Linked DNA regions of Caenorhabditis elegans. The protein of the gene in region 2 purifies or fractionates together with the protein of the main gene of each other region. This does not show direct contact. Each region holds a gene or a part of one and is shown on either strand. Other genes may lie near its edges.

Evidence for each region.
Region 1: the proteins of sur-6 (region 2) and glb-12 fractionate together in Caenorhabditis elegans (co-fractionation; one large-scale study listed by BioGRID). This does not show direct contact.
Region 3: the proteins of sur-6 (region 2) and paa-1 fractionate together in Caenorhabditis elegans (co-fractionation; one large-scale study listed by BioGRID). This does not show direct contact.
Region 4: the proteins of sur-6 (region 2) and rps-26 fractionate together in Caenorhabditis elegans (co-fractionation; one large-scale study listed by BioGRID). This does not show direct contact.

Annotation. Positions count from the first base shown.
Region 1 is NC_003280.10:10,727,459-10,735,092, forward strand, and holds glb-12 (GLOBIN domain-containing protein), read right to left. Parts: upstream 4,195-7,634; 5' UTR 4,105-4,194; coding exon 4,066-4,104; intron 3,920-4,065; coding exon 3,653-3,919; intron 3,594-3,652; coding exon 3,508-3,593; intron 3,437-3,507; coding exon 3,337-3,436; intron 2,809-3,336; coding exon 2,581-2,808; intron 2,528-2,580; coding exon 2,447-2,527; 3' UTR 2,346-2,446; downstream 1-2,345. Other genes in the region: mks-5 (Protein fantom), read left to right, coding at 1-58, 105-574, 740-1,066, 1,488-1,658, 1,710-1,792.
Region 2 is NC_003279.8:9,750,598-9,760,142, reverse strand, and holds sur-6 (Serine/threonine-protein phosphatase 2A regulatory subunit sur-6), read right to left. Parts: upstream 6,022-9,545; 5' UTR 5,906-6,021; coding exon 5,710-5,905; intron 5,372-5,709; coding exon 5,274-5,371; intron 5,220-5,273; coding exon 4,963-5,219; intron 4,914-4,962; coding exon 4,778-4,913; intron 4,531-4,777; coding exon 4,461-4,530; intron 4,410-4,460; coding exon 4,245-4,409; intron 4,197-4,244; coding exon 4,072-4,196; intron 4,023-4,071; coding exon 3,886-4,022; intron 3,840-3,885; coding exon 3,665-3,839; intron 3,296-3,664; coding exon 3,167-3,295; 3' UTR 2,255-3,166; downstream 1-2,254. Other genes in the region: F26E4.2 (Tnp_DDE_dom domain-containing protein), read left to right, coding at 671-715, 763-892, 2,115-2,254. UniProt on the Caenorhabditis elegans protein: Probable regulatory subunit of serine/threonine phosphatase let-92.
Region 3 is NC_003281.10:5,447,395-5,455,165, reverse strand, and holds paa-1 (putative serine/threonine-protein phosphatase PP2A regulatory subunit), read right to left. Parts: upstream 4,437-7,771; 5' UTR 4,426-4,436; coding exon 3,917-4,425; intron 3,866-3,916; coding exon 3,006-3,865; intron 2,959-3,005; coding exon 2,741-2,958; intron 2,688-2,740; coding exon 2,608-2,687; intron 2,564-2,607; coding exon 2,472-2,563; intron 2,418-2,471; coding exon 2,404-2,417; 3' UTR 2,029-2,403; downstream 1-2,028. Other genes in the region: F48E8.4 (MRH domain-containing protein), read right to left, coding at 1-181, 622-794, 847-1,000, 1,267-1,560; F48E8.8 (Hsp20/alpha crystallin family protein), read left to right, coding at 5,354-5,434, 5,530-5,646, 5,692-5,812, 5,968-6,153, 6,201-6,328; skpt-1 (F-box domain-containing protein), read left to right, coding at 6,923-7,001, 7,045-7,126, 7,174-7,498, 7,542-7,771. UniProt on the Caenorhabditis elegans protein: Acts as a scaffolding protein for phosphatase let-92 and its regulatory subunits.
Region 4 is NC_003279.8:14,755,946-14,762,396, reverse strand, and holds rps-26 (Small ribosomal subunit protein eS26), read right to left. Parts: upstream 2,468-6,451; 5' UTR 2,462-2,467; coding exon 2,281-2,461; intron 2,024-2,280; coding exon 1,851-2,023; 3' UTR 1,771-1,850; downstream 1-1,770. Other genes in the region: gpr-158 (G-protein coupled receptors family 3 profile domain-containing protein), read left to right, coding at 640-975, 1,027-1,141, 1,183-1,335, 1,389-1,676; tmem-107 (Transmembrane protein 107), read left to right, coding at 3,150-3,236, 3,288-3,611; dnj-12 (DNaJ domain (prokaryotic heat shock protein)), read right to left, coding at 3,965-4,125, 4,176-4,617, 4,666-5,121, 5,169-5,318; mtx-1 (Metaxin-1 homolog), read left to right, coding at 6,021-6,089, 6,138-6,392, 6,442-6,451.

The DNA.
Region 1 (7,634 bases), on a different chromosome or scaffold from region 2:
TTGATTCCGATGGAGAAGAAGAAGCTGATAGAATTGTATTCGATGATGATGATGACGAGTAATTTTTAATTAATATAGTTATTAAAGCATTTTTTTAATTTCAGAATAGAGTCGGTGTCAGCAGTATCATCCCAGAGAGATCCCGAGCCTCTAGAAGTTCCAGAGCGACAAGTAGAAAACCTTCCTTCTCCGGAGGATACACCAAGACCATCAGACCCCTTGAAACCAAATGGTACTAACGAGAGTAAGGAGTCTACACCAGTGACACAACGATCTGTTGATAAGACGGATGACGTGGCACCTGTAGATCCAGAGTTAGAACCAGAATCAGGGCCAGAACCAGAGCCGGTGGTGGAATCAGAGCCTAACGAGGTAGCTGAAACCGAGGAAGATAGAAAAAGAGAGTTAAAAACCGAAGAGCTCAAGAGCCTTCTTGGAGCTCTCCCTCCAATTGCAAAACCCAGGAATATACCGGTTGGACCAATTGCGTTGACTGAGCAACCAGAAGCTACCAGGCAACAAGGTTCAACAGGAAGAATTTTATTCACAGATCCGTTGCATTTTTCAGTTCCACGTGAGTTGATGATTTCAAATAATTTTTATAGCTTTTCATGTTTTGACACAAATGTTATAACGTGTTCAAAGTCGAATTCTAGTTATTTTATTACTGCATATTAAATAGAAGCCGCAAACCCTCGAATAGAAATTTCTTTTCCACATCCCTATTTTTGAATTTCAGCATCTGAATCCTCGTCAACTTCATCACCACGTCGCGCCGAAAAAGCACCTGTTCCACTGCCGGATTATGAAGGGCATAGTTTGATCAAAGTGCGAAAACCGTTGTCACCAACCGACAAAGATGTACTGGAACCGAATATGAAAGTTTCAATACAATTGGAAACATTTGAACTTGTTCCCGGATCAAGTCTGACTCCATTGACAAGAGAAGAGACGACGTTTTTCGTTGATTGGGTATTTTTGGATTTTACGAATGAGCAGTCGAAGAGTACGATATTTGATTTTCCGAGAAGACCACAAGAAATGGTGGATATTCGATATACAAAAGGTATTAGTTTTTTGAGATTTTTTATGGGAAGTATAAAATACTTATCTGCTTGATATCTATGGCCCCAGTTCAATTCAAAGGTATTGAAACAATTCTTTAAGCAGAAATATAGAACATTCAATTTTAAATATTTTAGCACTTACATTTTTGTGACAATTTTTTGAGATATGAACGTCTAAAGTTGGAGGACCTAGTTTTTGAACATGGTGCATCAAGAGCTCAACTTCAAGAGCTCATATCTCAGAGCTTGACTGAAACATTATTAATTTTTTTAATGTTCATTGAAATGTGGCGATTCAGAGGATGAAAAAATAAAATTCAAAAATTCTTCTAAAATGTTTGGTTTTTTTTTTGAAGTACGTTTAGAAAATAACTTAAATGCCACTCTCTAAAGTTAACCCCGATAATCTCAATTATTCAGAATACACCCTGACGCGTGGTCAACTTTCTCTTCTCGATCAATGGATCCGTGCTAGCATCAAATTTGAGTTAACCATCATCAAGATCAGTCCAGGCGACGAAGAGGAGCTCGGCTTCGGAAGTTTGATTTTAGTGCCAAACAACACACAGAACAAATCGTTTGTAATTGATGGTTAGTCATTTGTCGTAAGTATCTCATTCTTATAATTGAATTCAAATTCAGTTTACGATCGGAGTGGAATTGTGCAAGCCGAGATGACATTGACATTGCATTTCTCAAGAGCATTAATTGAACAATTGACCTGAGAAAATTGAAAAATACGGTTTAAATAATTTGTTAGATTATATTTTCAACAAATTAATAAATATTTTGGTTAAAAAAAAACTTGTTCAGTATCGTGAATTGTGGTTGCTGGAGAGCAAACTAAGCAATATTCTATACTCTTTTTTAACATCGTTTGAAAAATTGGTGAAAAATGAAATTTGCATTTTCAAACTTGACGTCCTACTTACAGCACAAAAAACGCTTAGGTAACTATCATATCTTGGCAAAATAATTACGATTTTAAAATGTTGCCGACGGAAAAATGTATTTTGAATTTTTAGTGATTTGTTAGTTGACTTTTTTTGAATCCTCTTACCGAAATGGAATAGATCCTCAAGAGGATAAAACCTCATATACATAAACTCGAAAAATAATCGGCCTATAACGTAATTGGCTCTGACTTTCAATTCACATAAAAATGTATCTAAACCTAATTCAGCAATGCTATTTTGTCTCCAAAATTGCATGTCTTTGTGTGACGCAATAGCAAAAAAAGCTTAGCTCATTTTTGTGCATTAAATGTGCTACAAAATCAAAAAAAAATCATTTATTCAATAAATTTAATCAGTTTTATTTATCAGTGTTTTTTCAGTGTCAATATGTTTTATATGGTATATCACTATAAAAATATACTTTCAGAATGGATCTTCGAACATTTGCTCTTGAGCTTTTGGTTCATTTGAAACTGCCGTATTTTCAATCTCGCTTTGTTTTTCCTGAAAATGCCAATATCAAATTAACAAATGTATGATATCAACTAATAACATACCGCCACCCTCTTCTTCTTCCTTTCCGAAATCTCGATATGTTGATGTGGAGCCAAGGCTTTTGTTGTTTGTGCACTCTTCTGTTTTGCTCTTTCCAATTCAAATGAGTCAGTCATTTGACTAATTACTGTGTTTAAGAACTTCTTCCAGACGTCTGTGATTTGAGATGTGGTGTAGTTTTGAGCAAATCGCACTTTTTTGTTCTCTTTTCCTTCTGATGATGGAAGCTCCTAAAATCATATTTGTTGGGTGAAAAGGTTTTTTGTTTTACGAGGGGAGATTATGAACTTTTTTAGAAAAAAAAACCAATTTAATTTAAACAATCTTATTTCGAATAGGTATCTACAAGAATTTATAGGAAGAGGATCACAAAGAACTAAAAAATCCGATCTGAAGTAACATTTAAAAATACTTATTTGAAAATATTATTCTAATTTTTTGAAAAAACCCGCAACTATTTTGCCCAACTGGATCAAAAATTGCACCTTTTTTAAAAAGAAAAACAAACATTTTTTTGAAAACAGCTCAAGTAATTTCCTCGCTCACAAACATCCTAATCTACGTTCGGGAAAATTTTCAAAATGCTTCTCGACCGCAAAATTTCTTTTTCGAATTATATAGATTTTTTCAGAAATCAAGCTCAATTAATTCCTTTATTAGAAAATAATTTGATTGAGTTGTACTCCAAATAAACCTTCCAACAAATCAATTAGTTGAACTTTCAAACTAGCTTGACCTAACTGATCCCACAATCTCACCTGTTCACCCGTCAGAAATGGAATTAATCGCTCGATAAATACATTTATAACAATTTCGAAATAGTTCTTCTCCATCTGGTTCTGATTTTGTTCCAAGAAACTGAAAAATCATCAAATGGCATTGGACTATATAATCATACAAAGTGACGGCATTTGCACCTGCGCACTTACCCTTGTCTGACATGACTTCTTCCCGTTTTTCGTACCAATTGCCATGCACCCGTCAGATTTTCAGACGTGCCAAGCATTGACGTGAGCTGGAATAATAAATTTGAGTTCAAAAAATACTCTTAAAAATGTAGTTTAGACAGCTAACCTGCTCCATGAACTCATAGAATCTTAGAATATGCCCTCCGAATTTCGGCATTTTCAGCATCGCGGCTCGCGGAGCCCGATCCACGCCAAACACTTTCTTGAGGTCCGGTTCAATATCATTGACAATATCTAAGAATATAAGACCAACAATATCCTTCGGATCATCTAGCCTTTGCCAAGTTTCACGTAACAGAGTACGGTCTTTTTTATTGAGGGCTAAGTCAAATGGATTTTCAGATTCGTTTCCGACCCAAGATGCTCCGACTTGCTGGAAAATAATTTTTTAAAATGTTCTGTGCGTCTTTAAAGAGTACTGTAGTTCTCTATTCTTATGTACTGTTTTTTTGAAAAGAATGTAAAAAATCCAAAAATTTTTGAGAAATGTTCATCTTCCGAATCAAGCTCAAAACTCACGGTTTTTTTCTTTTTCGGTGCACATAATGTGGCACCCATTGAAAATATATAGATTTATAACGATACTTGTTTTATTAAAAATCTTAAGCACAACTTCTCATCACCTCAATCAGGAAATGTTCTGAAAATTTGAAATTGAAAGACTCTGAAAAAGGAGAAGGAGTGAGTAAACATGAAGAAGACAAATTGAATAAGCCTCAATTATGACGTGGCAATGGAATGATGATTGGATTTTTTGTGTGTTGAAGTAGTCATAAAACGGAAGACGGCTGATTTTTTATGGGATGACGGGGAACAGAGCAACATAAATTCGCGTTCACAAGGCTGAAAACTAATTTGAATTTTGGCTTAAATTGTGGAAATGGCCAGTTAGATCTTGGAAATCAAATAAATCCTAACTGAAAATTTAGCCATATTCATTGTGGAAAAAATTAGATTTTTTAGGGTTAATAATTTTGTTTTGAAAAGATCTCAAACTTTTCCTATGACCCAAAGCATAATAAAAAACTGTAGATTTTGAGAAATCTTTTAAATCTAATTTGCCTTGTTTAAAATGCTTCCAAGCAGTATAATTTTTGTGGGGACCTATTAAAATGAGCTTTTTTGAAAATCCTAATTTTCGATGAAACATTTAAAAAAATCGAAACTTTTCCTTGTCAGCTTAACACTTAAATTTGTCAAAATCTGAGACTAGACTTGAGTTTTCTCGGGGATCTTTTCCGAAAGAAAAGACGCATATCAAAAATCAGTGTTCTTCTTCCCAAAAACTTATAGAAAGTATGAATATAACCAAATGATTGCTTTAAAAAAGTGAGAAGAAGGCAGAAGAGGGAAAAATACGAAGAAGTGGGATAAACAAAGTGACAAAAAACTGCGAAATTATAGTAGAGAGTTCTGACAAGAAATAATAAGGGAAGAGAAGGAAGTAGGTGAACTATTGGTTTTTCGAATGTTAATGTTATAAATGTATTTATACGTAGGCTGTTTTATTACTTGTTAGAAGCTTGAACTCAAGATCCGGCGGGAAAAGTGTAACAGGTGCACGTAAAAGTTCAGTGGATCAAAGATTTCTGGAACGGGACAAAATTTGTGGAGTTTGAATTCAAGTTATTTTGGAACATAGTTTGCTGGTGGGGCAGATTTATAAACGGCAGTAGCAATTCATGGTCTACCGGCTTCCTAGTTTCTGGTTATTTTCTCAAATTTTTGATTTTTGCCCATTTAATTTTTTTAAACATTTTCACTTCAAATTTTGTTAAACCACGGTATTTTAAGTCCACAATTGAATTTTTAAAGAATTTATCAGAAATGTTGGTTAATCTCCAAAATCGTTCTCCGCTCTCAAAAACCAAAGTGGACGTTTGCCTCCAAAAAAATGGAGAAAAAATGAAATTGCGATTTTTGGGTTGAAATTTATATTTTTTAAAAGCTGAGAACATGTTATACACGAATACTATGTCCATTTTGACACCCAGAATATCTGAAAATATCTAAAAATTGAAGCATGAATATTTTCAGAAATTTCCAGTTAATTTGTAAAAATCGGAAATATTAAAACTGCAGATTTCATGAACAAAAATAGTCTGAAATTTGTATAGAAAACAATTCAATCTTTCAAATTCAAGCACCCGCATTGCAGAAAATAATCAATTCTCATGCTCAACTAGATAGTTTTGCTATAGTTTTTGATCAGAAATTTGATTGTTTTCACTTTGCTTGCCGCTCTCCAAATTCCAAAAGTTCTGACTTCCAAGAAAAATTGAAAAAGAAAAAAAAAGAGAAATATTTAATTTTCCAGGAATTTTTTTTGTTGATTTTTTGAAAACGAGAATTGAAACAAGTATGGAAGAAAAATAGGCATAATCTTACTTGAAACTCAAAAATTTTCCTCTAGGTTACACCTAATTAAAACCTGTTCCTTCTGATATAACAGAAACCTTAACAAAACGTGAAAAAGTGGTGAAAAAAACATGGAAATGAGTGTGTTGTGTTAGGTAGCAGGCAGCTACTGCTCGCGAGCAAGAGCTCTCGACCCGAATAATAATTATAAATCACATTTTCTCCTTACTCGCCATTTTCGGTAGAAAATATATAAGGAATGGTGAAATGTAATAAGGGAGAAGTGAGTGTGTAGGTAGGAAGGAAAAGTGATCTTGGTTCTTTCTGGAGTTGGGGGGGGGGGGGGTGGGTTTTCAGGTAATGAAAGTTTATGTACCTGCTTGGAAAACCAGGCTTTTATACTACTGGGTTTCAGTAAGGTTACTGTAGAAACGATTAGAAACGCGGCAAACGATTTTTTCCGGCAAATCGGCAAATTGGCAAGAATTAAAATTTCCGGCAAGTCGACAAACCGGCAATTTGTCGATTTGCCTAATTTGTCAACAAACAAATTTACCAAACGGCAATTGCCGCCGGCCCTTGTCCAATAGCCGTTGAACTTCAAAATGTTTCTAAGTATTAAAAACAAAACTCTTTAGGATCACTATAATAAACACTACCTATAAACACTACCTAGCCAAGCATTACAACTTGAATATTAGTTTCAGAATACACTGAATTTTGAATCAGAAGTCCTTACTAGACGGTTCCTCAGAGATTTCCGATTAAGCTGTGATTCACATTAGTATTACAATTCAAGTATGCAAAGTTTTGATACTCTTGTTATTACTCAGAAAAATAAGAGAGGAAGCATTCATTTCCATCGGAATTTACCCGGAAACCGTAGGTGTCTGGAGTCTGGAAATTGAGTTGACAGAAAGTATTGTCACTAAAGTTTTAGTACCTTCCCGTGAGTGTAATTAATAAAACGAAATTGCATTATATTTTTCAATTGAGAGTACTTGGAACGGATGTGATCTGGGGGAGAATGAGCAGAAAACATGCCCCGCAATTTTGAATTGCAATAAAATATGCAGTTTCCGATCAATAAAACATCAATGATTTTTTAATTTCAAAAACGCGGAACAAAAATATGGAATTAACCTTTTGAATTTGAATTCCAAAAAAAAATCCGAAACTTTGTGTGAAGATCACATGGGGATTATTTCTAATCTTGATCTCAGGGATCCCCATTTGAAAATTTATAACGAAAGAAAAAAGTCGCTGCTAACCCGAATGAGGATTACAAGCACTTGCATTTGAATAGGTACAATTAAAGTATAAGAAGAAAAAGTGAGCTCTGAGCTCTCATTCTGAGTGTGCTCCGTTTCGGTCGGCTGAACTCATGAACATGGAAATTTGCTGATATTTTTTTTGGTTGAGCAACAGTGAGCAAGCGACAAAGGTGAGTCAACGCTCAAGTAGCTAATTGAGTTTTTAATCAGTGTCACGGGTTAGAGCAACAGAGAGAGAGAGTGAAAACGTTGGAGAACAGGTGGAATTCATTTTCCGATATTTTTCAGCTTTTATGTGGTAAGTTGAGTTAGGATAAGGTGATCAGGTATTGAAGTGAGTAAAATAATCAAAGAACTTTTTTTGACATGGAAGAGGGAATGGTTGTTGGAAGTTTTTTTTATCCCAAAACTGTTTAATATTTTCAGAAGTTTTTTTTAACTTTTAGTCATCCGCAT
Region 2 (9,545 bases):
AATCATTGCATTTTCACTTTTTTATTTGGAAGTTTTCAAATAATATTTTTTGATATGAAAGAAATGGAATCGCATACTTCCTCTTTAATAAATCGATCGCTTTGTTTATCAGGCATTAATCTTCTAAAGTTACGTCTCACATCTCAAAGATCAACTCATTTTACGTCTATTTTAATACCCTAATTCATGTTTTCAAACGTTCTTCCAAAAAAGTCTTTTTCAAGAGTCTGTCTTGTGCTCTGATATTTGCAAATTGTAAGATATTACAAGATTCCAAGAACTGTGGCAATTCTTTTTTAAATTCAATGATAAGCTTGCAAATCTGAAATAATTTAGACAATGAGTTTACGTCGCCGATTTTTGTAGTTTCTGGTATCAAATTAGTGTTCAAATTAGTATTTTGTGTTCCTCTTCTGGCGTCATTAATCTTACAAATTTGTATCAAACAATCATTCGAAATTATCGTTTTTGTTGTTTGTGTTTAATCCTATGCTTTTGGAAATTTACTGTACAATTTAGCGACTACTTCCATTCTGGGAATTTGAATTTTAGCAAGGAGAAAATTCAAACCCACCGAGGCTCAGTCCGCCTACTCTTGCTCAAAAAAGTGGAAAATTTGTTGAATGAAAACTAGAAAAAAAAACAAAAGTATATGCAAAATCATTTCCAGAAGAAGCGCAAACCACAAGTGACATACAGTGGTGATGGGCGGCGAGTGAGTTTTTGATATTTTTGCTATTAGTCTGAAATATAATTTATCAGATGTTGGATGGTGTTGTCGAAAAACAACATGAATCAAATGCTCTTTGGACAACTGCAATTACAAGAGGAGTTGCAAATGAATGGCGTGAAGAAGCAACTGGTACACGTCTTCAGAAGACAAAGAGATATCGTGAGTTCAATTCAAGTTTTTGAATAATTTCAATCGATTAATTAATATTCAGTAGACGACAACTGCTCTAGAAGGATTTTTAGTTATCATACTATTATACCAATGGGGTTTCTGAAAATTATCTGAATTTTTTTTTGCAATATTCTTTAGTAAATTGTCGAGAATCTATTTATTTTTGTTTCAAGATGGAGTTTGGAAAATAGGGATTTAGTCTTAAAATTCTCGGAATATTCCAATATGTCAGGTAGAGTTTGTGGAGTCAGAAGTCGTTGATTGATCCAAAAGTGTACATGAATTCATATTTTGGAAGAAATTCAAACAGGGAATTAGCGAATTTTTTGAAGTTGGCAATGTACATCTTTCACTGTTTTTATCAGTTTTCTTTTGCGATATTTTAGCATATCGATTCCGAGTACATTAAAACTACCCAATTTCCGAACTCCACCCTTAAAAATATTTTCGAACAATTGAAATATAAAAAACTTTAAAAAATTGAAACTGCACAGGAAATGCACATATTATTTTTTGTGTATTTTCCCTTACCCTCAAGAAAATTCGCCATGTGTACTAAACAAATCAGCCGTATGTTTTCTGTCTTGACAACACCTTAGAGGATTATCTTGTTTTTGTAGATGTAAATGTTAACTAATAATATCAATTGTCCGAAAGAGAGTTTCGATTTAAAAATAAAAATGTCAGAATTTGGATTAAGGATTAAATATAGTTTTCTCCTTTTTTTGTCTATGGAAATGATATTTATCAAGTCAAAAGGAATCAAAGTATAAATAATTCATCGATTCGATTTATCTATTTTTTAAAGTTATAACTTTTGTACTTTTTTCAAAACAAAATCCAACGTAATATAATCGATTTTTTTCAATTAATTATTCTCTTATACATCCGCGTCAAAAATACGGTACGCGGCCTCGACACGACAAATTTTAGTTAAATGCGAAATGTTGTGCGCCTTTAAAGAGTACTGTAATTTCAAACTATGATTGCTTCGGAATTTTCATCGAGTTTTTTTTTAAATTTTTTCTAATTATTTGTTCAAAATTATGCTTTTATTGTTATATTCCATTTTTCTAACTATGCAATTCGGTGAAAATTCAGCAGCAGCAATAGTTTGAAATTACAGTAATCTTTAAAGGCGCGCACATTTTCGCATTTATAAATTTGTCGTGTCGAGACACCAATAATATATTTTTCTAATTTATTTCAGTCTCCAAAGTCACATATGATGCACAAGTACTAGTACGTCAAACATATCGTCGCCATGGAACTGAAATCCTCATCGCCACAAATGTGATACTATTATTATTGTTTTTGTACATTTGTCGACTATTTCCATTCAATAAATGAGTTTTTATGATTGGAAAATAAATATTGCTTACAATTTTATGGGAAAAGGAAGACTTAATGATGAGACACACCCACGGGGATTTAATGATGAAGAAATATGAGGGAAGTAATACAAAAATTTATGTCAAGATTCTTGATTTGAAAGTTTGTAATTTTGTGACAGACAAACGAACAGAGAAAGTGGAGAGAAAATAACTAAAGTCGGAAAAATTTCAAAAATTTTTTGGGCGATTTTTATAGTTTTCAAAATTACAGAATGGAGCTAACAAGGTGAGAATAATACCTTCACACGCTTTCAAACAAGAGGATTAAGTCGTGAAACACATTGTGAATCTAACAGGAGAAATCATCCTAAAAGTGGGAGAGACACGACCCGAATGATTCGGGGTTAAGGATCTACAGTTATCTTTTTAAAAGTGGTGGTGGAAGAGACAAGAAAGAGAACACTGGAGTTGAAGAGTGAGGGAAAAGTATAGAAAACGGGCCACGTAATTCAAGAATGATATGAGAGGATAGAGAGAGGGAGAGAGTAAAGAAAAAGAAGCTATAAGAATAATAAAGTACAACTCTATCTCAAATTGGAAGCAAAAGACAACTTTAACAGTTGAAAAATAGAAACCAACTAAGAGCTTATTCCTGTTTTACTTCAAAAATTTACGATGACGAAGGATTTGAAAGAAAGAAAGCGAGTAACATTGAATACGCGATTAAATGTCTATAAGTCGACATGAGGACTACGAAAACGGGAAAGAAGGGACGGGATTTGAGAAAGAATTGACTCACAAAAATATGGGGAAAATATGAAAAAAAAATTTAGAGTTATATGAATGTGATATTTGAGGATAAATTGAGAAAAAGGGAAAATGATGATTGGGGGAGGACGAAATCCAACAAGTTTACGAAAACAATAATTTAAACATCTGAGAAGATGTAGAGATTGTTAGTGGCAGCAAGAGCAATGATGTTATCCTTTGGATGCCATGCTGTGTGCAATATTTTACGATCAAATTGAAGTTGATCAGATGAAAGATCCTCTTCGGTCTGTAAATTGGGTTTTTGTTGATTTTGAAGTAAGATATGTTTATCATATTTTCACGAGAGTTTAACATGCATTCTTAAAGGTGCACGGATGTATTCAGATGAGTCTTGGCGATCAAGAAAATTTACGGTTGTGCTTTTATTTTATGCGGCTGATTCCTCGTTTATTTTACATTTTCAATAAAATTACGTCGTTTAAAGTGTATTTTTAGCGAAAAAATGTCGCTAAATACGAAGTAATTATATTGAAAAATAAAAAATAAACGAGAAGCAGTCGCATAAAATAAAAATAAAAACTACCATAAACTTTTTTTGCGCGCAGAGACCCATTTAAACATGAAGACGTTTTTTTAAATTTAATTGAAATCTTACCGTTTCACCGCTTGATGACAGATTGTTTCTCTTCCGTTTCGCTGATGGTACAACAAATCGAGATCGGAGCTGTGAATGTGGTTCTTGAGGCCGAGCTTCCCAAGTTTTCGCATCTTGGTTATTGCCACGAGCATATGAACGGAACAGATTATGATACGAACCCGTGAGAATATGTCTGCAAAAAGAAAATTATAATATGAAAAAGTACTGCAATTAATTACTTGTCATCTCCACTCCAATCGCACTCGAATTTATCGAAAATTGAATCATTTTCGTAGAGTGCACAGAGTTTTGTTCGTAAATAATTGTGCACTGGATATGTCTCTACCGGTTGTGATTCCATGTTCAAATCCCACACCTGAAATATAAAAGTTGTTCAAATTTTCTTTTTAATTATTAATAATTACCTTGACAGTAAGATAGTCCCTCGTAAGCAAGTACCTTCCATTATGTGAGAATTTGACGTCACTAACAGATGCAATAATCTCCGAGAAGAAAGATCGAGATTGAGGGTCTTCTGGTTCCTCGAAAACTGCAAATTAATATTATTTATATAATCAATACACAGAACCAAACGCACTTTTAGCATACGCATCACATAGAGCACGATCTCTCATATCACACAATCGAATAGATCCTTTTGATGAAGAGTATACAAACCAATTACACTGCGTTGGATGGAATTCGGCGGCAGTAATAACTTCCGTAAGTTCTTCCATATTAGCAGGCTTGATGTCGACAATGTCTGGAAGAAATCGATATTAAAATTTTTTGAAAACAAGTATTCAAAACTCACTGAAAGACTCATTGGTAATCTCCAGATTCCAAAGGTTAACTCGCAAATCGTCGGCAGATAGGAATGTTTCCTGAAAATCGGAATATAATTTTTAATTTCGGTTCACTTATACATAATTGATATTTTGGTCCTTGCAGTACCAAACATTTTAAATTTTCACAAAAAAGAATTCAGCCAACCTGGTACTATTTTTCTAATAAATTGAATAGTTAAAAAAATACGCCGAACATGTGAAGAAGGTTATACTGTTGAGATTTTGATTCATCGTATACTTTGGATTGAAAAAAGCTGAACACAAAAAAAAATTATTAAAATACCTGATCAGAATTCACTGAAATACTGTTGACGTGATAAGTGTGAGCATTTCCGTAAACTCGTCTCGGACTTGCTTCAACTATCAACTCCATTGGCACGATCGAGGGTATTTGTAAGCGACCTCGGAAGGAGGAAGTGCTGAAAATTATATTTATATATTTAAAATATTTAATCATTAATGTTATACTTGATTCTGTTTGTTCTAGGCAGATTCCATGCATCGTCTCCAATTTTACGCTCTCTTTCACTAATTTTCCACAGCTTGATTGTTTTGTCGTTGGTCGAGAGAATGAAATTGGCTGCATTCTTCTTTTTAAGCCACCGAATTTGATTAATTTTCTCGTCAATTTCTAGTGATTTCAAATAATCAAATTCAGGTTCATGAGATTGAAATGTCGAGTAAACATTATATTCCCTCGATCGAACGCCTTTCACATACTTTCCCTGAAAAATTAAATATTTAAAACAGTTCTCGTCTTTCTAAAAACTAAAACCTACACTCTGATCTCGTTGGAAAATTACAACACGTCCTCCTTTGTCTCCCGTTGCCAAATATTCACCATCGTGTGAAAATTCCACACAAGAGATCACATCGGCTGAAAATTATTCGATTTTTCAGTATTCTAGGCATCATAATTTTTACTAATTTTTGACATATCATCTTAAAGTCGCACGCATTAATTCAGATGGGTCTCGGCGCGCAATAATGTTTATGGTAATTTTTTTCGAATGTTTTACTTTAAAAACTGATTTAAAACAATTTTCACAGAAAAATGAAAAGAATATGACAAATTTCGCAAAAAATGAACTAAGTAGTATTTTAATTTTAAAAAAAAACAAGGCAATTAAACCACCAACTTTTTTCTGAATAAATCGTGCGTCTTTAAGAAATAGTATCAAAAACGTAGGGAAATTTCAAGTAACAATTTTTTACCTTCCGTGTGCACATCGGCATCTATATTTCCTTTCACCTGGTTGAATTTCCAATTTATTTGATCTACCGGTTCAAATGTTTCATCGTTCTCAATTGGTCCCTCGGAGGTATCCATATCAAAGTCATTCGCATGCTCCTGCGGTTGATTTTGCGATGTAGTCGCCGCAACTGCAGGTTCGTCCACTTCCATCACCATTATTCAAATTTTTCCTCTTTTTCGTTGTTTCTTTGGTTCTCTTCCCTTCCTAATCACTGGATGTGACGAAGATTAAAGTGTTTGAGACACGGGAATGACGACTATTTTTAATGCGTCTGAAAAATGGAAATTATTATATACAAAATTGGATTAGGAATTCAGAGATTGACATCGGGAAAAAAAGAAGCATAAATCCTCATGCCGCAGGTTGCTAGGCAACAAATCTGTCGAGTGATGAAGAAAAAGCACAACATGGTAAAACAGGAAATTAAGACAATTGTTTGAAAGAGAAATAGCTGCAAAGTTTTTTCAAAGAGTCAAAAGGAATGGAACACTCAGGTCAGAGAATTAGAGACAAAGAACGTTGTTTAAAAGTTTGTATGTTTGATTCGATCACAAAAATGACCGAGAATCACAGCGGTGCCGCAATGCTATCGCAATTTACATGACGAAACGCGGGCAAAAAAACTAGGGTGCGAAAGGGCGCATTTGCAATTTGTAAACGGAAGGGACCGGTTTTGAGTGCATTTCAGTGCAACAAAATTAGAAAATGAAATAACACAAAAATGTTGATAATGGATGCTTAATTTACGTAGATCAATTTATAAGTAATATCTCTCTGATCGCCGCATTTTAGTCAAAAAAAAATTGTTGGTCAAAAGCACGAAGATTTGGTTGGAGAAAACAAGCAGATGATGCTTACCGAGATCTCGTCTGCCAACCAAGGGACTCTTAATCCATCGGCGCAGAGCAAACGCGCGAGATTAATTCGAGCTTCTTCACAACATCTGCGTCTCTTCAGTCATCTCATTATGTTATTACTATCAACACTGAATGCTCATAAAGCACGAAAGCAGAGATACATGGCTCGAGGTAGTTCTCTAATCATCTCATTTTCACTGAATTCTTTTTTCTATTCAAGTTTCTTCCTAATCCGCTCCCTCACCTGTGTGAATTCCAGTTAACCAAAAACGGAGCAATAGACAGACCGTAGAGAGAAAGAGACAGAAAAGGAAACAAAAATGAGTGTGTATGTGTGCGTGTGTGCCGAATAATAATGAGCAGAGTGAGGCGCAAAATCAGATTATAACTTCAACTTTTTTTTCAAAATGGTAGATAACCAATCGATCGATCAATAATTATCAGATGAGTCATAGGAAAATGACTGAAACAGTATGCGATCACGCAGAGAAGAACTTCACGCAGCTGGCCAGAGGGCAACAACAAGACGGAAATAATCAATGACTACTCATGACTACACGAGAAGGAACCTCTTACTTATCAGCTGTCCTCCGATAGAAACAAAAAATTATTGATCAGAAAGCAAATATGATTTCAAAAGTTAAAAGCTTGATTATTTCAAAATAATAATAAGGAAAATGCTGAATAAGATTGTTGTGATCAACAGAAATCCAATTGGCAAAATGTAATAAAAAGTGAAAAACGGAGACGGAAGGAATCATGATGGATTAAAAAACAATATACATCCATTTTCTAAGCGGCAAAAACGAGAGATGGAGCACTCCCTCCATGTGTGTGCGGGCCTGTGAGTGTCAACGACGTGTGCAGCATGAGGCGACGACAGCATCAGCCGGTGGAGAAGCAGAAGACATGGTGGGGGAGGAAAAGAAGACGTCGAGAAGGAGCGAGAAGAGATATCAGTGTTCTTCCGAAGGGAGCGCGAGGAGACATGAAGAGATGGGCGACTACTGCCTTGAAGAACCAAATAATCGATTGGCTATGGCGCCGGCGACGAACCGAATGGCGAAAACGGAATGACGCAGAGTATGAAACACGAGACAGTGCACCTAAACGAGTTACGCAGACAGCTCGACGATGGAACACAAAGAAACTGTGTGCGAAGCTAATAGCATTGATGGACAGTCAACTCTTTCTTTTTTTATTTGAAAAATGTTACTATCATTATTTGGAAGCACATTTTGACCGTTTCGTAAAAGAAAACTTAGTTCAGTGAAAGTAGGGTCAATTAGTGTTCGCAAAAAGTGTAATGAGTTGGGCTCTTCTTTTTAGGGACTTGCCGAAAATTTGTTTTCAGGAAGAAAACGAAGAAAAAGAGATGTGATGTAAGTCGGTAACAAGTTATTTTTCAAAATTTAGATAATTTCGCATAACAAAATCCGGAAACACATGATTTTTGTGATCGAATTGCTGAAAATTTCGCTTTTTGCTCATTAGGGAAGAAATTCTGACAATGTGCAAGTGGTTTTTAATATAGACCAAAAATTTGAATAAAAAATAAATCCTCAAGGTTGATAAAATTATAATTTCCCTATACTTGCAATTATTTAGTAGTGCCTTTAAAATTAAATTCGAAATTAAAAATGGCTCAAAACTTGGAAAAAACATTGAAAACACTAAAACTCGTATTCATCTAACTGGTTGTGTTGCTCTCGTGCTTGCCAAAACATACATATAATATCTGCGCTCCTCTGAAAACTCGGCTCGTTCAGGGCTCTTCTCTCATGCTCATGCTGCTCAATTACCACTAGTACCTCTCTCTCCATCTCTCTACATGAATAATTATCGGAGACGCGTACAGAAAAGGAGAAAGCAGAAAAAAAGAGGAAGCACAAATAAAATATCAAGACAGAAAAGAATGTGGCCGCGAAGTGATACAAAAAACATAAAATATGTCGACTCAGCTTGCCGCAAAAAAAACCGAGTCAAAGAAATGGAAATCTCAAAACAGGACAACAAGGGTACAAATAATATTCGAGACAATTCCAACTAGTTTCATTTTCACAGTAGATCGAATGACAAGAAAAATGAGCTTTTCGAGCACACCTTAACCCAATCGATCAGTCGCCACTTGAGAGTATGTTCTTCAAGTACTCGACTCTCATTACCGCCTTCGTTCGACCGAAGCCTGTTTACCAGCCATTTTTAACGCAATATCGCGAGAATTCTCATTGTGCCAAGCGTAATAATAAAAAAATTACTGAAAAAGAGTAGAAAACCCTATGAATCGGAAGAAATAGATGAAAAAATGAATCAACGAACTCAAACGCAAAAAACACAATTTGAACCGAAGAGTGTGCAGTTGCGCGTCATCGTGTACACGGTGTTTGCGTCTTAGGCGCCGTGCTGAATTGTTGACCGTAGCCAATTTGTACTGAACTAGAAATCTAGTGTAAGATGGGTGTAAAGAAAAGAAATTCTATTAAAAAATAGTGTTTTTTTGGTTAATGGCAAAATTATTATTCACAAAGTTAAAATAACTTGTGAAAAAATTGTCCGTAAACTGCGAAAAAAGGAAATTAAGAGCGAAGTTGAAAAAAGAATGGGCGATTTTGAAGTTCCCGAAATTATCAACAATTGTAAGTTTCGATTTTCCAGGTCTCGCCACAAACGAAATATTTTTAATGAAGGTCGCGCAAAGAGGATTACACCCTTTAAATAGTACATTACACCATTCCAAAACGGCGAATGGATTACTGTACTTTTTAAAGGCGCATATCTTCACTTAGATTTGACAGCATTTCGTTCGAGGTGAGATCGGAAAACGTCCAAAATTCGAAACTGGAGTATTGGAATAATACTACAAGTTCTTCTTGAACGTCAAACTGAATAGTTTCTAAAGTTGATTGACAAGTTGCTGAATCCTCTCTCATTATATAAT
Region 3 (7,771 bases), on a different chromosome or scaffold from region 2:
CTTCTTTTCTCAAAAATGGTTGACATCCAATTTTCTTGGTATTTGACTGGCTTGCGGGCAAGAATTCCGGATATCTGCAGAGGGTTCCAACTTTTACAATCATCAAGTACTGACATGGTTTCACTTCGACAACTGAAGAGATGTATACCTCGTTGGTACTCAGTTGGGCGTCACATTCGTACTGAAAAACTGGAAAGTATTAGCTGTTTAGGAGAAATTTGTGGTTTTTGAATAGGGACCAAGGTTTGAAAGGTTGTTTGGTAGTTTTTTCCCTGTTTTTGAAGTTTAAAATTGATTTTTTTTTGAAGTACAATTTTATAAATAATAATTTTATTTTCCTGTTACTTTAAAAACACTTTATTCGCCAATTTAGCCTAGATTTTAACTTTTATTTTTGGAATTTCAGTACGTTATGCTTTTTAAAAATTGTCTAAAAAACTATGGAACACATCAGTGAACTTTCCAAAAAAAATGAAGATTTTTAGCCATGTTGATATTTCTCTCAAAAATTAAATTAGTATTTTAAAGTAAAAAATGTTGTATACATTTTTTCAAAAATCGTTTTAAAGTAACAATCCCGTAGTTAGAGCGGTAAAATGTCTTTTTTTTTTAATATAATACCCGAACAGAAGTCATCCGTGGCTCCCTGTATTCCTCCAAATCACAGAAAGTCCCACTCGTGTACGTTTCCTCGACGAAAAGCAATCGATCATCCGTTGATTCTTGATAGGATGGCATTTTGAGACTTCCATCGAACAATCCGAGTATATTCTTTACATATCCCTCCTGACCAGCTGCAATATATATGTATATTGATTGGTTTATTTTCCTATTATTGACACTCACGTTCTCCGTGCACTTGCTCAATTGTCTGTCCACGGCACAGAATATAAGACCACCAGTGATTACCACGTAGTTTCACACATTTGTCCACGTAAAAGCTTGCGGCGAGCGCGTCTCCATAGATTTTCGGATTCTTGCTGCTTTTTGGTTTGTCTTTCTGAAACCAGACAATATTTGAGACCGTTTATGCGTTTTTAATGTCTGAATACTGAAATAAAACTCTTATTAGCGTATTTTCACTGATTGTTTATAAATTATGGTGAAAATTTAAAAAATTAAGCGAAAAACTCGAAAACGTGACTTTCGAACTAATATTATCGCTGTAATGAAACAAAGAACACCTAAAGTCAACTGTAAACAACACGCTACAAATTTTTGCCGATTTTTACAACAAAGCACAATATTTAATCTAAAAATGTGTACCTTAACATCTTCCACATCTGGCAAAGAACATGCAAACTTCTGCCCTCCTTTACTCGTCACAAACATCAAATTCTGCTCGGTCGAGTCATCGGGAATCCGATTAACAATTCGCTTTTCGAGATCATCAATATTGCTGGCTGTAACTTTTCGAATATCCAATTCCGGGGCGAACCAAAGAAAATTCTCGCCAATATTCGCGTCATAAGAGACCCGTCGGTACTCTGCAAGGTCAAATACGCCTGCCGTGGCGGTCGTGGACGGCAGCAGGAATAGTTGGAGGAAATAAATTATCATCGTCTTGGCATAGCACCTGCAAAGAGAAACTACGTAAACAATTCTCCGATTGAATTGAAAAATTGAAAAGTAAATGCGAACAGTTTTTTAATTGGAAAAAATAATTTTGGCAACGAAAACTTCTAGCCACGTGGCAAAATCTGAGCACTGGAAGTTTCTGAGACAATCAATCGGGAAACTGCGCGTTTAATATAAATTTATGCCCGCTCTTTGCCAGCTGGATTTGCCAAACGGCCAAAAAGATGGTTTCAAAGTTCCAAATGGCAAAAGTAAATTTTTTATTTGAATGAGACGTTTCACAACGCTTGCAACTTGAGCAATATTTAATCCACGTTGCAAAAGCACCGAGATTCTCTGCTCAAAAGCTTCTGCGACGTGGCATACGCCGGATAACACCATTATTCCAAATATTTTCAGAGATTTCAACCACACTGATCTAACCTAACCTGAGACCTTTTTTCTCATAATAGACGATGACCTTTTATTCTGCAAAAAAAATAAATGAATGAATGGGTCGCAATGGAAAAAGTGGTGATTGTGTGTGGTGGAAAAAGAACAGAAAGAAGTAGGATGGTGAAATATACGGGATAGAAGTGGGAGGAAAATGAAAATAATCATAAAGAGAGGTCGCATAATTTAACGATTATAATTTGTATTGTTTTGTTGTGGGAGGGACGGTGGTTAGAACTATTACAATACAGAGTTTTGTCTCGAGGGCTAAACATTTACAAATGAATGAGGAGAGATAGAGATTATTCGCGTGCTCGGGAACAAAAATGGAAAAATAAGACGATTGAGAAGTGGAAGATGTAGAGATTCCAATTTGACTAGCGATATGTTCGATTACAAGCCGAGTGCTGAAAATGTTCAATTTCAAATTCACTCTAAATTTTAAGACAACTGAAACTTACAGTTCTTGGCTTCCTCTGAAAAGTATCGAACGTCAAAGTCTGAATCTTTTCCGAGCTTCTCGAGCAGTGGCTTCACCTCGGACGTCAATGTACTGAAAATAGAAAATTGGGATAGTGAAAAAGATTTTCCTGTCACCTTGGGGTCAAGTTCTTTCCAATTCGCTTCAAACTCTTTGCGGCGTTGAATCTGACATTCGGCACGTCATCCTCGACAAGCTGAAATTAGAAAAATTACGATTTCTTTAAATAAAAAAGTAAAATTTCCCTACATCTTTCACAATTGGCATAATCTCCTTCAGAATCTGCTCCTGAGTCATCGCCTCACTGAGTGTATTCAAACAGAACAAGCATGTCATTCTCTGCAGGTAGTTGGTGTCCTTCTGAAGTTTCTGCATTTTTGGTACAATATTCGTGCTAGCCCATTGTCCTCCAAACTTCTGTGTCAGTTCCTTCATGATGAGGGTCGATGCCTCGCGGATTGAGAACACTGGAAAAAATTAAATTAAAAACATTTTTAAGAAAAAATCAAGTTACCATGGTCGGTAAGCCAGTTCAAACAAAGCGGAAGCAACTTCTCATCGAAGAATTCTTGTCCCAACTGGGAAGCAAGAAGTGGCATGAATTGAACAATTGCGAGTCGAACTCTCCATTTTCCATCCTCGGCCAATCCAACGATGGCTGGCAAGAGGGATGTGGACAATTGAGCTGCTCCGATCACTTCATTGACCTTATCAAGACTGGAAATAATATTGAGGCGAACTTCTGGGGTTTGATCGTTAAGCAACTGCATGTAGATTGGGAGAAGCTCAGAGACAGTTTGTTCCTTGCCAATCAGTGGAGCAAGTCCCATGATGACACCGGCGAGTTCCGACTTGACGAGCTGATTCCCATCAGTAACCAATTCCTTGGCAACGTTGAGCAGTGAGTTGCAGATAATGTTCTGACGCTTGTCCTCTGGCAAGTTGAGAGCGAATTCCTGAAGTCTCTGAGTGGCAGCACATCTAACCTCACCCTCTGGATCCTTGAGAAGGTTCGTGTACATGTTAACGAGATGTGTGGTATCCATATCCTCACCGAGGACATTCTGAATCTCGATAAGCTTCTCGGCAACCATATAACGAACTCTCCACGACTTGTCATCGAACAATTCAATGAGAATTGGCTCGATGAGTTTCTTCTTGTTAGCCTTATCGAGGAGAGTTCCGAAAGCGATGGCTGACTCGACAGTGAGCAAACGAACAGAATCTTGCTCATCAACATGAAGATCAGTGAGACTGGAGTGGAGACCCTCGATGACGGCAGTCTTCTCAAACACCTTTGCGAACTCTCCGAGCTTTGCAGCAGCAGCACGGCGAACCATTGGGGTGTCATCACGGCACAGGGTTCGGAACATGCTGAAAATAATTAATTTAGATTGCTTTAGTTATTCTTTTCTTAATTCTCACCTCTTCAATTCCGACTTGATAGCTGGACTGACACGTGGATAAACAACAGAGAAAAGCCCACAAGCCGAGGTACGGGATGTGAACCAGTCTCCAGTGGCCAAACGTCTGAGCATCGGCACGAAATGCTCCTCCAATGAGGCCGAGCTGTGCTTGTCGGCGATTTTGCGGAGACTCTCAACGGCTTTGTCACGGACCACGGTCTCCTCGACTGTGGCCAAGTTCTCAAGTGGAAGGAGAAGACAATGAACATGATCTGGACCACCGACCAATGGAGTGAAATTTCCGAGTTGCTCGGCGAGCACAAGCAGAACCTCATCTTCGTCGTAAATCGTGTCGGTCAAAAATTGGATGAGCTCGTTGCGTGTGCGCTCCACACCCAACGCCAAAGCGATTGTGGAGAGTTTGCGAATGCTGTTCAGTCGCAACGTGACATCTTCGTTGCGCAGCTCGTCAATGAGCACGGCAATCGGGTAGAGCGCGTCGTCAGTGGCTTCTTCGACAACCGACATGATGAAGAGTGCTGAAATTTGTTTTATGAAAATTAATCTCGCGGCTATTCAAAGGAGAAAGAACGGGAAGAGAAACGGATTATCATCGGGCATGAGGAGAACAAGAGAGAGAGAGGAGACGCAGTGAAGATAACACAGCAATGTGTTGAAATATTGATTACCGGGTGGTTTTTGGAGAAATAAATTGGAGAGAAAATAGAAAAATTGAGTATTTTGAAAGAACTTGCAGAATCTACGAATAGTCATCTTTGAATATCTGATATTAAGAAAATTAAATTCAAATTTAAGAATGTTCAGTGCTAGAAAACATATTTTTGTTGAAACATTATTATTTCTGTACGAAAATATAGAAAATCAATGAAATGGAATTGTTCAAAGAAGAAGAGTGTGATTTTTAAAGAAACTATTGGAATTTTCGAGAAATCAGTGAAAAACTCTACCACGTGGACAATATTTTCACTGATCTTTCGAAAATCAACTCTGAAACTCGTGAAATTTCGATATTAAGAAATCGCTATAGTGAACCTGACGAACATGCAAAAAAAGAGCGGCGAAAGGAGAAGAAGAGAAACAGCTGCGACAGTGATACGCAGAGAAGCAGAGAACGGCCATCTCTCTCTCACTGCAATAGCACAATCCATCGCGCCTGCGGTCGTAGAGCTCTCATCGATTTGTCGTCGGTTTCGGTGTACTGGACGTGGCGACGACAGAGGGAACAGCGCCGGAAAATGACTGAAAATGTCCTTAAAATAGAATATTTTCAGTGTAGAAGGGAGGATGAAAACACAGGCATCACGTGATTAGTGAACAGCCAGTTTTTTTCTGATATTTAAACAATAAAAAGGCTGAAAATTAATTTGATTCGAATTTTCAGGCAAAACGCGTGGGCATGCTGTTAGAAGAACATCATTAAACATTTAAAATCATCATGGTTTCCTGGTTTTCAAAAATTTCAAACAGGCGAACAAAAGAGAAAAGGACGTCAAAAGCTTTAATAAAATATGCAAAAGTGAGTGCACAATCGAGCTTTTGGTTCTCATTTTTCGCAAAAGCGTGGTGCTCTAGTACGTATTCTTCTCATTAGCTCAGTTTATATATTTACAGAACAGTACAATGGGAGACGGTGCGAATGTGTTCAACACATTCAGCTTCAACAAATGGGCAGACGGCAAGCGTGAAGAGGAGATAGATAAGGAAAGTAGACGGCGACGAGCCGAGCAGGTTTGTGGTGGCTCTCCAAGGTGTATACTAGTGGCTTAATGACAGATTAAACGACTGAAGGAAAGGCTTCGAAAGGAGAGAGCACTGCGTGAGGCTCAAGGTGATGGAGATCTTGATTTGGATGCATTGATTGAGGCGTTACAAAGAGGAGAAGTTATCAATATACGTATGTCAAAATTATTTATTTTACTATTTAAAAACAGTGATAGAATCTTAATCACATCAGGTTTCTAATTGTTACTAATTATGTTAACTGTTCTTACAACCAAGATTTATAACATGAATAGAGAAGGATATTTGATAATTTGGATCCTATTTCAGCTCAACAAACCGATGTAATTGTAACCGAACCTATCGAGGAAACTTCTAAAAGAAAACGAGGGGTGCCAGATAATTTGTCAGATGATTATATCTTTAATGAAATAAATCTCTACGCAAATCGCTCGATCGGCTTGAACAATATTGCAGAGCCGGTGGACATAGCGCCTGTTCCACTACAAAAATTAGGTGAGGAAATTCAAGAAAAACCAATTTAAAATCTACTGTAAATTCAGATCCACTCTCCTTCCGTTATAATCGAAGAAATCAGAATAACGAAATGATCGCCAATGAGGAGCAAATTGTTCAACACCGGCCGAATAACTTCAAGTTTAATAGAATGATACAGGATATTCAAAAATGATTTTTTTTTTCGAAATGATTAATAAATTCTTATACTCTCTCCAAATGATCACAGCAACTAGGCAGAAAAAATGAAGGATGACTCAAACGTTTTAAATTTCGAAACTATTGGAACTAAATGTGTATTTCGGAATAATTAATAAAATGGATTTTAAAAAACTTGTCAACCTCTCACTTCCGAATACAACCAATCTTCGATGAATGAGACAAAAAAGTTGTTTTCAAGAAATAGTTTCAGATTCGACCCTTACTTTGCTTAAAGGTTATTTGGACTTATTTAAAAAGTTATATTACTTTTATTTAATCGTATTTTGATTTAAAAATGTGCGCTTTTGGTGGGAGAAACAAATAAAAATAGCGAAATATTGCAAAAAATAAAAAAATAAGGATAAAAATTGGCGAAAAATGTTCGAAAATTCAGATTTGCGGTGGAGCGCGTTTGCATTGCAAAAACTCGCGCCAACCTAAAAAAGATTACCGCGCCCGCGAGTTCATATTTATTCAAATCAGCCCTGTTTTGAATTTATTTCAAGCAGAAAGTGCTTTTTCCCTTATTTACCACCTAAATACTACACCTCATATCTACTCAAACAAAATGTCTCGTGTCATAGGAAGACTTCCATCAACTCTAGAAGATAACGGACCCTCTGAAAATGAGCATTGCGTGGAGACAGGTAATTGTGTGTCAAAATTCAAATATGATTGACTTTTTCAAAGTATTCTCAGATGAGACCATCTCCATCTTTCCATGCTACAACCTCTATCCAAAGAAAAGCCTCAGGCTTTCAGTTTCCGGAAAGTAAGCTGCAATTATCTCTTAATTTTCTTAATTTTACGACATTTCAGCTCCGAAAAGCTAAAGTCGATAAATCTGAATTGCAAAAATCTCGTAGAAGATGAAATCGCTCCGATCAAGCGAAAAGACGCACGCAGTATTCAGAATCCGTTCAAAAAGTACAGTATTCCCGATGAGATCACTGAACAAATCTTTTCCAATTTGAAAAAGAAGGATCTTCTCTCGGCGATGCTCGTCTGTCATCGTTTTTACGGAATCGGACACAAATCGAGAAATTGGATTATCACCGACGCCCAGGATCGTCCTATTTCCGAAATTTCACTGATTGCGTTGTCACAACGAAAAATCAAAGTTCTTCGTCTGGCAGGAGCTAAAGTGAGAATTTTATTTTATTTCCTATAAAACTAACTGTTTCCAGGCCGATCGAATCCTTCGTGCCGATGAACGGCTCGTCGAAGTTGCACTGCTGAGCACCTCCCGCTTGGAGCTTCTCGATCTCTCTCGCACTAATCTCACTGCCCGCCAAATGCAGATTATGTTGAAACCATGCCAGAAGCTCAAATGCTTGTCAATTGAAGGAAATCAATTGGATGACCACGTGGCAATATGCATTGCAGAGAATCGCGGGCTCCGCGAGCTCGACATCTC
Region 4 (6,451 bases), 5.0 Mb from region 2:
CCTGCAAATTGCCAGAAATTTTCAATTCCGAAAAATTGCCGATTTGCCGGATATTTTCAATTCCGGCGAATTGCCGGATATTTTCAATTCCTGCAAATTGCCAGAAATTTTCAATTCCGAAAAATTGCCGATTTGCCGGATATTTTTAATTCCGGCGAATTGCCGGATATTTTCAATTCCTGCAAATTGCCAGAAATTTTCAATTCCGAAAAATTGCCGAATTGCCGGATATTTTCAATTCCTGCAAATTGCCAGAAATTTTCAATTCCGAAAAATTGCCGATTTGCCGGATATTTTCAATTCCGGCGATTTGCCGGATATTTTCAATTCCGGCAAAGTGCCAAAAATTTTCCATTCCGGCAAATTGCCGATTCGCCGGAAATTTCAATTCTGGCAATTTTCCGATTGAAATTGAAATTTCCTTTAAAAATGTGCAAAACTACAATTTGCCGAAAAGTTCGGCAATTGCTGCTTTTCCGGCAAAAAACGGCAAATCGGCAATTTTTAAAAATTCTAAAACCGACAAATTCGGCGAATCGACAATTTTCCTGGTTTGCCGATTTGCCGGAACAATCGTTTGCCACCGTCCATATCTATGATGCAATCTTTTTTTTTGCTATTTAAAATATTACTTTCCAGGAACCTCCAAGAATATCGAGTTCGAAAAGCTCAACACGTGTCTGTCCGCGAGCAAGATATGCTCAAATACCTTGCAGCCATGCTTGCACTAACAATAACTGGCCTGATGGCCTGGACAGTTGGGTCGTGGGGCGATACAGCACTATGGAGAACAGCGTGGCCACAATGTCTGATGCAAGGATGGCATGTTATTTGGCACGGGTACGAGTTGCTCTTCCTTCTGTATGCAGTTAGGCTGTGCTATAAGGCCAGGAATAGTGATTGGCTGGAACGATGGCAGTTCACTGTAGCTGTGTGCTTGGAAGCTGTTATCACATTAATGGCCAACTTGATTAGGTGAGTGAAGTCCTGAAATATCTGAAAATTTGTAAATTCAATTTTTTAAAGGTATTCTATTCGAAATTCGGGACGAGCTGACACCCTCTTCATCGTCTCATTTGTCCATCTACAGCTTACAGTTTCGGTGAACATTGTTATCATTGTGGCACCTAAATTCTATTTGGTAATTGGTTAGAAAATTCATTAAATATTATTTATTTTCAGTCAAATGGAGAGCCAAGTCGTCGATCGATGACACTTGGCGGCCACTCGGGACGTGCTCATCCTTCGCTGGCTAAACTACGTGACAACATACTAAACGGAACTATCGACTTTGCGGAAGTTCCGATCGCTGACATGAACCCCGAAGACATTCGGGTCAGTTTGGATTTAAAATTCGTCCCCGCTATTCAATGTCATTTGTTTTTCAGGCAGAGTTGAAGCGCGTCTACACGCAATTACGCATGTACAAGTTGAAAAATTTGTATCAAGACAACCCGCACATTTCTAAAAAACGGGGTGGGAAGAAATGGAGCGATAAAAACACCAAAGCAACACGACGGATCTCAATACCATCATGCTCACCGCAGACGAAACGGATAGAGGAAGACGAGAAAAGTGACCTGACTGTGGAGTCATCACCTCATAACATCTATCTGAGCAATTTCAAAGGAGTAAATGTGAACAGCATTGAGCAACACAATTCAGTTCGGGTATAGAAGCTCACTTATATTTGCGCACTTTCCATTGTTGTTTTCTGTTGATAATTCTTCTAATAACATAAATATATTATTTTATAAAATCAAATCGTCTTTAATCGGTTCATCTTTCATCGCGTGCGATACAGAATTCGATTGCAACAAAAAGGTTTATAATTTCAAAGAACAAACAACTTATGGACGTGGTCCTGGAGCTCCTGGACGAGCAGCAGCGGCGCGCTGTCCGAAACGTGGTGGTGGGTTGCGATCTCTTCTGGCCTCACGGGAACGATTTCTGACGACCTTGCTGTGGATGGCGCAGGCGATGCAGTAATGGAGCTTGTGGTAGAGCTTTGGAAGAGCATACTCTGAAAATAGAATTTAAATCTTTATGAAATAATTTCATGAGCAAACATTTTTTTTAATCAGAATCTGTGACACGGGTATTCAGGAGGACCACTCGCTCTTTGACTTAGAAATGCGGGATAATTTTACTAGGGTCTCTCAATAAAATTCGTCTCTTCGGCAAGTCTCGGAGCTTAAAAAGTGAGGATCCAGCTAAACACACGTGCTGCGAGATTATTCAATCCTTTCCACGAATGATTTAAAAATTCTAAAAACTAACGGGTGTAAGCAGAAGCATCTCCGATGTCTCTAACGGCGGCAGCCTCAACGATGTTTCTGACAACGAACTTCTTGATGGCCTTATCCTTTGGGCAGCAGCGTCCGCAGTTGGTGCAGCGAATGAACGCGACGTGTCCGCGGTTCTTCTTGTTTCTTCCGTGGTTACGTCTCTTGAACGTCATTGTACCCTGAAAACCAAAGAATTAAAGAAATTATAACGTAGCCTTCAATAAATCGAGCGAAAAAATTCGAAATTAAGACAATTCTCACTAGAAATTATTCGGATTAAGCTGTTTCACATGCAGAGATAAGGAAAATGCGACAGGATATCAATTTCAATCCTAGAATCAAGAGAAAATGGCGAAAATCGAGGATTTAAAGAAATCTGACGAACTAATCTGGCGAAAACATGAACTAAATCGATTATATTTGTCAATTCAATTTTTTTAAACAGAAATTTCAGAAAAAACGATGAATTTTCAAGAAAAAAGTCAAAAAATCGTTTAGGCCAGCAGAAAAGTGAGCGAAATACGATGGAGAAACGTTAAATGCACACTGGGTTACGATACCTGCACATCTAACTCAACGCTGCCGGACACCGGCCATGGCCGCCGCTATGGGGTTTTCTAGGCCATTTCTCGCGTTTCGAGAAATTGAAATCTATTTTTTCACAGAAAAAGAAGGAAAAAAAGGGATTTTCAGGGTTTTTTTTTTGGAAAATGAATAGAAAATAAAATTTTTCATGTAAACCTATAGGGTCTACAGCGAAAAAGCACTCGAAAATGTAATTGAAAGAAGGAACGTCGCCATGGCAACGGGAGAAGTGGGCTAGTGGAGTAACTCATCGATTTTCGCAAGCTTCTTTAAGAAATGTTCACGAAAACGGACACCTGTACTAAATACTTTCAATGTTTGATGGGACATTTCGCCTTGTCGACGATTACAATATTTTCTCAGGTTAGGAAGTCTCGAAAAAAATTATTTAAAATCTAAAATCTATTTTTCAAGGCTTCTCATTTGGAAGCATCAGTTTCGGGCGGTGCATCCATCAGTGAGGAGGCCCGAATAGGCTTCACAGTTTGCCTGGTCTTCACAAAACTCGCTATTCTCATCGAATTCGCCTCAATTCTCGTGGATCTCCCGTCGCCGTCTCGATCTCTATATTCCACGTTGTCACACACGATTGCCAGCATTTTCTTTCTAATTTTCATCTACGATTCGCATCCACCTGCACATTTTTGGCTACTTTTCGCTTTTCTTTCCCTTCCACCGTGCGTTCTTGCCGTGAGCGCATCGATCGGCGGATTTAGGCGAAAGGAATGGCAAAAATAAATCAATTTTTTTATTCTCCCTTGTTCACAAAAGACTGACGGACAGTCAATTAAGGGAAAACGTAACACTGAAATGAATGTGGGTAGGATATCGATATCAAACAAAAAAAGTAATGAAGAGGGGACGAAACGAGACCATATGGAGCAGGAACTAAAGTTGATGGGAATAAAAAGTAAAACGAACGGGGAACACAAAAAAATAAATCAATTTCAAGATCACAGATCGTCGAAATTAGGCTTATGAGTTTTTAAAAGATGAAAACCATGCAGATAGTAGGAAAGAAATGGAGCCAAGTTTGAAATCCTAAAATAGTGAAGGAAAGTGACCAGAAAAAGTGTAAATTGGTGTGAAATTCAAGACTGTTGGCATTGAACGCCTTGTGGCCCGTGTCCATGTCCACCGAATCCACCGTGTCCTTCAAAGTCGTCGCGCTCAGCGAAATTCCTGCGAGATGCTTGTGGATCTAACTCGGTCAGCTCAACGACTTCCGCGTCTTCATCAATGATTTCTTCTCCTGAAAGAAAAATGATTAGTATTTCACACTGTAAACGCAATAAAACGAACTCTTTCCAGGCAGTAAATCGGCTAGCTTCTTCGCGGCATCTGGATTAATTTTATCGGGGAATTTCACATCGAACTGTACGAGAAGATCTCCTTTATCAGATGATGCTCGACGCATTGGCATTCCCTCGTTGTGGATCACTTTAACATCGGCATGAGCAATAACCTCTCCAGGAAGAACACGATAGAAAATTGTTCGACCATCAAGTGTACTGATTGTTCGCACAAATCCGCACAGAGCCTCGGAAAGATCGATATTGTGTTGAATAATCAGATTATCGCCTTTTCGGACGAATTTCTCGTGTTCAACCTCGTCGAGCACAACTACAAAGTCTCCAGGCTTCTCAATACCGATCACTTCGTCTCCTTTTCCTTCGAACACAAACTTCTCGCCATCTTTCATGCCAGGCGTGATTCCAACTTCAATAATTTCGTCTTCTTTCACCTGAAATCACTAATTATAGTTTCGAATTCGATTGGAGAAAAGTCAAACCTGCTTCTTTCCGTTACACTTTTTGCAGCGATCTTTTTCAAGGAATGTTGAGCCTTCTCCATTACAACTGTCGCAGTGAGATTGCATTTGTTGAACCATTGGTCCCATTCTGATAACACGAACCTTGATTCCACGTCCACGACAATCAGAGCACTCCTTAGCGGATCCCTCGTTGCCTCCAAGTCCCTTGCATCCTTTACAAGTGGCAGTTCTTGAGATTTTCAGCTTTTTCGTAACACCCTTGTACAGTGTGTCGAGTGTGACCCGTAAATTGTGAACCGTTGGTTTTACTCGACGTTCTCCACGACCACCACGACCACCGCCTCCGAAGAACATGTCGAATACGTCGAACGGATTGTGGAATCCCTCTCCGCCACCACCACCGCCTTGAAGTGCTTCTTCTCCACCCTGATCATAAATCTGACGTTTCTTCTCATCTGATAATACTTCGTATGCCTGCAATATGAGTAATTTCAACTTTGCAGCTGGATTTCGTAACAAACCTGGGAGATCTGCTTGAATTGCTCAGCTCCGTCTGGATTCTTGTCTGGATGGAATTTGAGCGCCATTTTACGGTAGGCCTTCTTCAACTCATTGTCTGAAGCATCCGGCTTTACTCCGAGAACGTCATAATATCCTGTTTCCTTCACCATTTTGATAAATACGAATCTGAAAAAGAAAATAATAATTTTTCTTCATTTATCGACGAATTTCGAGTGTCAGAATGAAAATTATACCAAAAAGCGAATTGTTTTGCGTAAATCCAACACGATAAAATCGATTTTGAAGTCAAAAATGGGGAAAGTCAAGAGATAAAGGGCGAAAAAGAGGAGAAAACGCGAAAACTGTTCTAACGATTTTTCGTGAACATTCTCGACACTTTTATCGGTGGAGCGCACTTGCAACTCACCAAGCGGGGACATTTTTGTCTCGTGGAAACTGATTCGTGAGAAATATTTTAAAAATGCACGATTATTTGTGGAAAACTAAAAAAAATCTTACATAGATTTTCATTCAAAACAACTATTATACAGGATAGCAATTGGGGAGATACTGTAATTTTAAAATCTTTTTAAAAATCTGTTTTTTTTTCATTCATGAATGAACTGCAGTTTTGATGTTTTTTCAAACGTATTCTTCAAAAACTCGAGAAATTAGCAAAAATTGAGGCTTTGTTCGAAATTTTCCGCAGCTTCCGTGATTCACACATTAAAAAAACTCCAATTTAAAATTCCCGCAAAAAAGTGGCATGGCCGTGACCGAGGTTTCACCTGAGCGGCTCCATTTTTTTCCTAGTCCATCTTGATTTTTTTCCGAATTTGGAATTTCAAGCTCAAAATTTGTTTGTAATATCAATGGAATTACACATTTGGCCGTCAGACTTCGGTCTCCCAACTATTGACGTTGTGTCTCTGCAGTTTTTGGTAAGATTTTGTGTCAACTTTGGTTAATTATCGTCATTTCTGTTCCAGGCGTGCTCTAAAATGTGTGCCAGCCCAGTAAGAGTCATCCAATCGACCCGTCCTTGGAGATCGCCGAGCGGTGAGCTCCCAATGGTCGCTCAAACCGAAGGAGAAGCAAAACCAGTGACAGATTTCGAAAAATTTGTGGATATTCTGAAAAAGTGCGGCCAAGACGTGGTTATCGATGCAGACTTGACCACTATTGAGAAAGCACAGTTGGACGCATTTTCCTGTTATTTACATCACAATTTGTATCCAGCAGTGGTAAGATTAAAGAAAAATTAAGCTGAAATAAATCAATTTTCCCTTCCAGATGCACACAT